2 linked regions of the Caenorhabditis elegans genome follow. The protein of the gene in region 1 interacts with the protein of each later gene in a pairwise test. Each region holds a gene or a part of one and is shown on either strand. Other genes may lie near its edges. The genes, in order: ndx-4 and rpsa-1.

What was found.
Region 2: the proteins of ndx-4 (region 1) and rpsa-1 interact in a two-hybrid assay, tested with the Caenorhabditis elegans proteins (one large-scale study listed by BioGRID).

What each region holds. Positions count from the first base shown.
Region 1 is NC_003279.8:13,792,011-13,796,342, reverse strand, and holds ndx-4 (Bis(5'-nucleosyl)-tetraphosphatase [asymmetrical]), read left to right. Parts: upstream 1-2,190; 5' UTR 2,191-2,202; coding exon 2,203-2,433; intron 2,434-3,418; coding exon 3,419-3,604; 3' UTR 3,605-3,704; downstream 3,705-4,332. Other genes in the region: Y37H9A.5 (uncharacterized protein), read left to right, coding at 23-44; ccct-1 (Coiled-coil and C2 domain-containing protein 1-like), read right to left, coding at 4,178-4,291. UniProt on the Caenorhabditis elegans protein: Asymmetrically hydrolyzes Ap4A to yield AMP and ATP.
Region 2 is NC_003281.10:4,752,181-4,755,851, reverse strand, and holds rpsa-1 (Small ribosomal subunit protein uS2), read left to right. Parts: upstream 1-1,800; 5' UTR 1,801-1,805; coding exon 1,806-1,938; intron 1,939-2,010; coding exon 2,011-2,273; intron 2,274-2,320; coding exon 2,321-2,422; intron 2,423-2,469; coding exon 2,470-2,802; 3' UTR 2,803-2,845; downstream 2,846-3,671. Other genes in the region: rbg-3 (Rab-GAP TBC domain-containing protein), read right to left, coding at 22-164, 210-443, 487-983, 1,035-1,143, 1,190-1,233; B0393.8 (uncharacterized protein), read left to right, coding at 3,482-3,528, 3,573-3,671.

The sequences.
Region 1 (4,332 bases):
TAAAATCAAATTTCCGTTTCAGGTTCTCGACTTCCACAATGTAAAATTCCAAGACTACAACGTTCTGACCGATCAGGAGCTGAGAGAAGGCGTCAAAATCTTCAGCTAATGGCCAACAATTCCACAAGTCTATGTGAAGGGAGAGTTCGTCGGCGGATGTGATATTCTCATTTCAATGCACAAAGATGGAGAGATTTCCGACGAATATGGGAAACAATAAATGCTTTTTCATGTTAAAAATAAAAATTTAGATTTTTTTACTCGAATAAATCATCCAGATTGTATTATTTATTCAGCAAAAAGTGCTCGGTAGGTTGGTCGAAGACGAGTGAAGGGAATTAAATTTCAATAAATAAATGGGGCTCATTTTTACAATAAAATCAGTGAAAAGGGGGTAATTGATAAAAAATCGAAATGTATCCTTATTTCCACAACTTCTTAATGGACATATTCTTCTTCTTAATGGACATATTCTTCATTCTTCTCCGAATCCTTCTGCATAACCTTTCCAACAGCCATCTCGAAATCCTCTCGTGTCACATGAATACGTCGCTAACGGAGCGCAAACATACCAGCCTCGAAACAGACTGACTTGACTTCGGCTCCCGATGCTCCAGGAATTTGCTCGGTGTCGAGGATGTCGATACGGTTGGTTGCCATGATAACCTGAACATATATATTTAGAAATTAGAAAGTTTTTGCATTTTCCCTACCTTAATACTCTTCTTCGTTGCCTCAAATCCATCGAGTTGATTGATCAGCTCGAGCATAGTTCTCTGAACTTCCGAATCTCCTCCACTAGATTCTTTAACTCTGCTTGGTCCGATTGGATCGATTTAATCCATGAAAATGATCGATGGAGCATGCTCACGAGCCATCACGAAGACTTCATGCACCTGAAAGCATTGTAAATGTAAAGATTATTATGTCGATCCACTTACCATTCGTGTTTATTCTCCAATAAACTTCTGCACCAACTCGGAGCCGGAAACTCGAATAAATGTGCACTCAGTGTGATGAGCAACTGCACGAGCTAACAATGCTTTTCCAGTTCGTGGTGGTCCATAGACCAGTTTTCAACAAAAAATTAACTTTAAAAATGACAAAAAGTTATATTTTAAAGGAATGAAAGAAAATAAAATAAAAATCACAATCTCTCGTAAATCCTGCCCGCTTGTCTGCATTTGCGCGTCAATTTATGCGCCGCGTGTTTGCGGCCAATACACCGAAAAACACCGATGAGACAGCTTGACTACACGTGAGCGCCGAGAAGCTTTTGCTCTGTGAGCTTCAAATAGGAAGCTATAAACTTTCGATTTGAAGCCCAACGAGCAGCTTTTCGGCTCTGCTGGGGCGCAGAGTTGCGTTCGGTGGCAGAAACTGGAAAATTCTGAAATTTTCTAAACTAATTTTCGAATTTCCTGCCATTTTTACCCCTAAAATCAACTTTTTTCGAAATTTGGTTCATTTTCTTGTAAGCTACAGTTTTGACGTACTTTTAGAGCTACAGTACTCCAAAATTTTTTTCTAATTTTTAAAATGTTTTTTAGTAATTCAGAAACGCGAAAATGTTTCCAAAAATCAATTTGTCTATAAAAATTGCAGAAATTGAAAAAAACTAGAAGTTTTCTCTATATTTTTTCTAGAAAACCAGAAAATTCTTTTTTTTTTAATTTTTGTAGCAAAATTTCTTAGGAAAATCCAATTATTCACCGAAAAAAAAATTTTTAGGCCGTCTAAACGTCCTTTTCGAATTTTTTTTTCAGTTTTTCTCAATTTTTGCCAAAAAAAATTGGATTTTTCAGTCAAAAATTCAAATTTTCACCTTAAAATTGCACAAAACCGCCCCAGCAGCGCCGAGAAGCTTTTGCTCTGTGAGCTCCAAATAGGAAGCTATAAACTTCCGATTTGAAGCCCAAAGAGCAGCTTTTCGGCTCTGCTGGGGCGCTGAGTTGCGTTCGGAGCACCAAACTCGAAAATTTGAAATTTTCAGCGTAAAGTTTACCGAAAATATGTTTTTGAAAAAAAATTCCGATTTTTCTGATCAAAATTTCGAGTTTCCCGCCATTTTACGCCTAAAATTAATTTTTTTCAAAATTTGGAGCTTTTTGTCGTGTGCTCCTATTTTTTTTAATCCAATTTTAACAAAAAATCGATATTTTCTAAAAAAAAAAATCCAGTTTTTTTCAGCGCCAACAAAAAATGGTCGTAAAAGCCGCGGGACTTGTGATCTACCGGAAGTTGGCGGGAAAAATCGAGTTTCTCCTGCTTCAAGCCTCCTATCCACCACATCACTGGACCCCACCAAAAGGTCACGTGGATCCAGGAGAAGATGAATGGCAGGCGGCAATTCGTGAGACTAAGGAAGAAGCTAATATTACAAAAGAGCAACTGACAATTCATGAAGATTGTCATGAAACACTCTTTTATGAGGTGTGTGTGTGTGTGTAAGAAAATCGATAATTTTTATCGATTTTTTGATGGAAAAATCGATAATTTCCGGCGAAGTATGATATATTCAAAATTTTCGAATTTTTTAATGAAAAAATCGATAATTTAATTTCGATAATCAATAAATTATCGTTTTTCCGATGGAAAAATCGAAAAAATTAAAAATTAAATAATATCCTGCGAAAATCGATAATTTCGAATTTTTCGAATTTTTAATAAAAAATCGATTTAAAAAATTTCGAAAAAAAATCGATATTTTCGAAATTTTCGATTAAAAACCCGAAAAATCGATAATTTTGTGCGAATTTTCGAAAAAAAAATAAATTATCGATTTTTTAAATAGAAAATCGAAAATTTTTTTTGAATTTTTTTTTTTTTTGAATTTTTTTGAATTTTTTAAATGGAAAAATCGATAATTTATTTTAGAAAATCAACAAATTATCGATTTTTCTAAAACTAAATTTTCATTGAAAAATTTTTTGAAAAAAATCTCCGATTTTTCACCAAAAATTCAATTTTTCTGCAATTTTGCGGAAAAAAACACGAAAATATCGATTTTTTCGGAAAACTTATCCATTTTAAGCTTTTTTTGGGAAAATTCGGGATTTTTCGATTTTCTGATAGAAAAATCGATATTTACCGGCGAAAACGAAAGAAATTTCCTTTTTTCGTAAATTTTGTAAAAAAAATTGATTTTTTTTTCACAAGACCCTGAAAATTCAATTTTTTCCAGGTTTTTACACTGAAAAAAATTTTTTTTTTGGTTTTGTGAAATGTATCGATTTTTAGGAAAAATGGCAAAATTTCCGGGAAAATTCTGGAAAAAAACGCAATTTTTCCGAATTTTGAAAGAAAAAATCGATAAAAAATTGGGTTTTCAGCGAATTTACATATTTTTTAAATCGATTTTTCATTTGAAAATTGAACTAAACACTAAAAAAAATCCCAAATTTCGCTAAATTTACAGGCAAAAGGGAAGCCAAAATCAGTGAAATATTGGCTCGCCAAGCTCAACAATCCAGACGACGTTCAACTATCTCATGAACATCAAAATTGGAAATGGTGTGAATTGGAAGATGCTATCAAAATTGCCGATTACGCTGAAATGGGCAGCCTTCTCCGCAAATTTTCCGCTTTTTTGGCCGGATTTTAACGATTTTTCACCGATAATTTCATATTTTTCGAAAAAAAATAATTTTCATTTATTTATTTAATGTAAACTTTTTATTTAATATAAATCTTTTCATACACAATTGTTCATGATGCTCTCTCTTTATCAAAAATATAATGCTCGTAATTATTAATGAATGCGTGTTGTCTCAGAGCCTGATAAAACAGATTTTTTTTCGAAAATTTCAAAAAGTTTTTTAGGGTTCAGAGATCAATTTTGAGTCCTCTAACTGTCCTTTTTTTTAATTTAGGCAAAAAAATAATTTTTCTGAAAACGTACAAAACCATCAATATTTGAAAAAGGGCAATTTTTTAAGGTTTAGAGATCAATTTTGAGTCCTCTAACTTAAAAAATAACCATTTTAGAGAAGTTTCAAAATTGTGATTTTTGCCGTTTTTTTTGCCATTTTTGCCACTTTTTTCTAAATTCAGCATATATAAATGTTACTCCTCTGAAAAAATTAAAAAGTCGTTAACTCTTCCGATAAACCAAATATTTATATTATATTCAAAAAAAAACACATTTAAAACATCGAATCAAGTAGAAAGAATCCATTTAATTATCTAAAATGAGCCATTTCTGGGCAATATGTTGAGCTTTTGCATCACCAATTGGTTGACGAATTCGAACTTTCGCCGACAAGAGACCACCAACTGCTTTACGGCCGTCCTGAAACGAGAAAAATTAGAAAATTTTACGAAAAATCTAAT
Region 2 (3,671 bases), on another chromosome or scaffold:
TTTATCGATTTAACAACTTACAAAGATGTCTGATCTGAACTAACAACGAAACAAACATGCATTTGGCTAATGGGGCAATTGGCCGATCAATCAGAAGTACATCCCATAGAAAAAGCAAATCGTGTAGAGGAAGTTCTCGGCCAAATAATAAGCGAAGCCAACGACTGTAAATATTTTAATTAAATATTTTCAAAAATAAAATAACTCACATTCCATAAAGTTGTGGTGGTATATCAAGAGTACTAAGATGTTTGGCAAGGGTGGGATCGATTTCGTGTAGAAGATTTCCAATATCAATTAGATCTTCCATCAAACGAGATGCAGGAGCGGAATCTTGCACCCTCATGTACGGTTCCTTTGGAATTGGACGCTTTGGACTCTCAGTGACTGTTGGTTCTTCATACCATCTTGATACTTCTAACATCACCGAACAAAACAGATTACTAAAAATATATTATCAATAATGATTGAAATTTATTCACTCACTAGCTATCCTGTTCGAGGTATTCTTTACAAAATAAGCAATTCAAAATATCTTCTTCTTCCACCGTTAGCATTTTCAACTCATCATTCTCTTTTGCATGTTGAAATGCTTCATTGTCCGAATATATCACGAAAATTAGCGGTGCCAGAATTTCGTGCATTCCTTGACGATAATTTACAAAAGGATGCTCCTTTGCATAAACCAAAAGAATATCTGACATCATTTGCCGAATACTTGTGTTTTGAAAGAACTCAATTTCCGGAAAAGTTCGTGAAACATCTTTGCCGATAATGTCACGAAGATCATTGTCCTCGAAAAATGTATTCCATGGATTTTGCTCAATAGAGGCAAGTGGATTGTTGAATTCAGGATCTTGAGAAAACTTTGTATCGTGTGGGTCAATTAAATGATTTTCCTTGTGAGCTCGGTAAAGATTCCGACTACGTGATAAGCTTATTTCCCAATCACTTGTTTCATACGGCAAACATCGAAGAACAAGCTGTAATCAATTGACTTTTGAAGACTAATTTAGAAATGCCGAAACTAATACCCTCCAAACAGCTGATCTACATGAAGATGAACGCAAGGAGCCTGATGCAGCGACTCTTGCTAGGAGATCATCAGAAAGCTTATATTTGATTAGTGACGTCGCATCAAAGCTGAACACATAAATTCTTTAATATTTTATATCCCCATATTATGCACCTGAGAGGAATGAAGAAATTTGCTGATACTCCCGGTGAATTCATGTCTTGATGGTTGTGCGCATTGTGGTAATATCTGAAAAATTTCGAAGTCAGTTTTCTGATAAGGCAACAACTAATAAATTGAGAATCAATTTACCCTTAAGGAACGATGTTCGCTTCTGAATTTATTAATAAATTTTTCCGTAATTCAATTCAAAATTGTCATATTTAAGAAAAAAACATCAAAAATGACAAATTCAATATTTTAATTAATTTTTGCTTTCGTCGTAAATCTACACACGCGTCTCTTCCGTGCGAGAGTCCAAGCCAGCAGCCAAATTCGTTGACTGAGTATTCAACGTTTATACGTTGTCGGCAACGAGAAATAGGAAAATGCATCGGGAAATGTTCTTTTTTCGATTTTTTCCAAGGTTTTGACAAATTTTACCACGAATTTTGCTATGTTTTCAATTAAAAAATATGTTATTCAACTGTTTCTATGAGGAAAATAAGGCTTTGCATGTAATTTTCTTATTCAGCATAATTTTTAATTAATTTGAATTTTCTGTCCTAACGTTTATTTTGTTTTCTTGGTTATGACTGATCTGAAATTAATTTTTGAATTTTAAGGTAATATGTCAGGCGGTGCCGCTCATTCCGCCCTCACTGAGGAGGATGTTATGAAGCTTCTTGCTACCCAGGCCCATTTGGGATCCACCAATCTTAACTTCCAAATGCAGCAATACGTCTACAAGAGACGTTTTGACGGTTAGTTTAAAAAAAATTCAATTCATTTTTCTTGTGAATTATTTAATAAAATTATAACAATTATCATTACAGGACCAAATATCATCAACGTCAAGAAGACCTGGGAGAAGCTTCTTCTCGCTGCCCGCGCTATCGCCGCTGTTGAGAACCCAGCTGATGTCGTCGTTGTTTCGGCTAGACCATACGCCCAGCGTGCTCTTCTCAAGTTCGCTGCTCATACCGGAGCTACCGCCATCTTCGGACGTTTCTCTCCAGGATGTCTTACCAACCAGATCCAAAAGACCTTCAAGGAGCCAAGACTTCTCGTCATCTCTGACCCACGTATCGATCATCAGGTAAGACTTTTCTAAATAGTTGTTTTTTCTAATTATTTAAAATTTAGGCTGTCACTGAGGCTTCCTACGTCGGAGTTCCAGTCATCTCCTTCGTCAACACCGAGTCTCCACTCAAGTTGATCGACATCGGAGTTCCATGCAACAACAAGGTATATATTTAATTTATAAAAAATGTAAATATGTATTTGAATTGTAGGGAGAACGCTCAATCGGACTTATGTGGTGGATGCTCGCTCGCGAGATCCTCATTCTCCGTGGAAAGATCTCCCGTCAAACCGGATTCGTCCTCGAAGGAAAGGAAATCATGCCAGATCTTTACTTCTACCGTGACCCAACTGAGACCGAGAAGGAGGAGACTGGAGCTCACGCTGATGTTGCTGAGGCTCAAGAATACCAACAACCAACTGACATCGACTTCACCACCCAAGGAGGAAAGGTTGACGATTGGGCCGCTGAGACCGCTACCTGGACTGCCGAGACCAAGACCACCGAAGAGTGGGCCAACGCTCCAACCCAGTCTAACTGGTAATCAATTTGTTACAATGTTGGTTCTTTGAAATAAACCTTGTTAACTATGTTATGAGGTTATTGAACAAATTTATATATAAGAAAAGTCAACAGTTATTAAGACCATGTACAGGGACGGCGAACGTTTTAAAGAATTTAATGAATATTACTTGTGCCAATAGACGAGATTAAAATCGTAATCCCATTTTCCTCTTATGTAAGCTTTCAAAAATTACAGTAATGGGATGATGCAAGTGAATTTCTCGTCATTTCTCGACAATTTTTTTGCAATGCAAGTGTGCGGAGAAATGACGTGAAATTCGCAATTTCTCCGCATTTCTCGACATCCACACATACCGTAGTTGGTGACGTTGTTGGCGGCAAATCGCGGCGAGACCCGCTGTGTCGATTTACGAGGATATATCTAATGTTAGTTTTTCGCAATAAACTTGGTTTTTCTGTCGTTCTTGTTCAATTTTCGTGATCTTTTCGCAGTTTTTACTCTTTTTCATGTATATTTATTGAATTCAATATCGTACTTTTCAATTCTCTGCGCAGTCAAACGTCATTTTTAGTTTTATAGCTATTTTCGGTGGCTTAAAGAAAAAAAATTTAAATTTTCCTTTTCAGAGCTCGATATTGCTCCAGTCTGGAAATGATTTGTTGATGTCGTCAGCGCGATGAATTCCGTCACATAAAATATGTACAAAATCGTCAATAACGATCAGAACAAGATATTGGTCATCGCGTAAGTTCAAAAAGTGAATAGCTGGATTATGAATATAATTTCAGAAAGTCAAATGCTCAATCTCTGCGGAAGACTTTTCTACACTCGTGCCTTCCGAAAATGTCGCTCTCTCAGCCTTGGTCGCATAGTTTTGAAATCTGTCA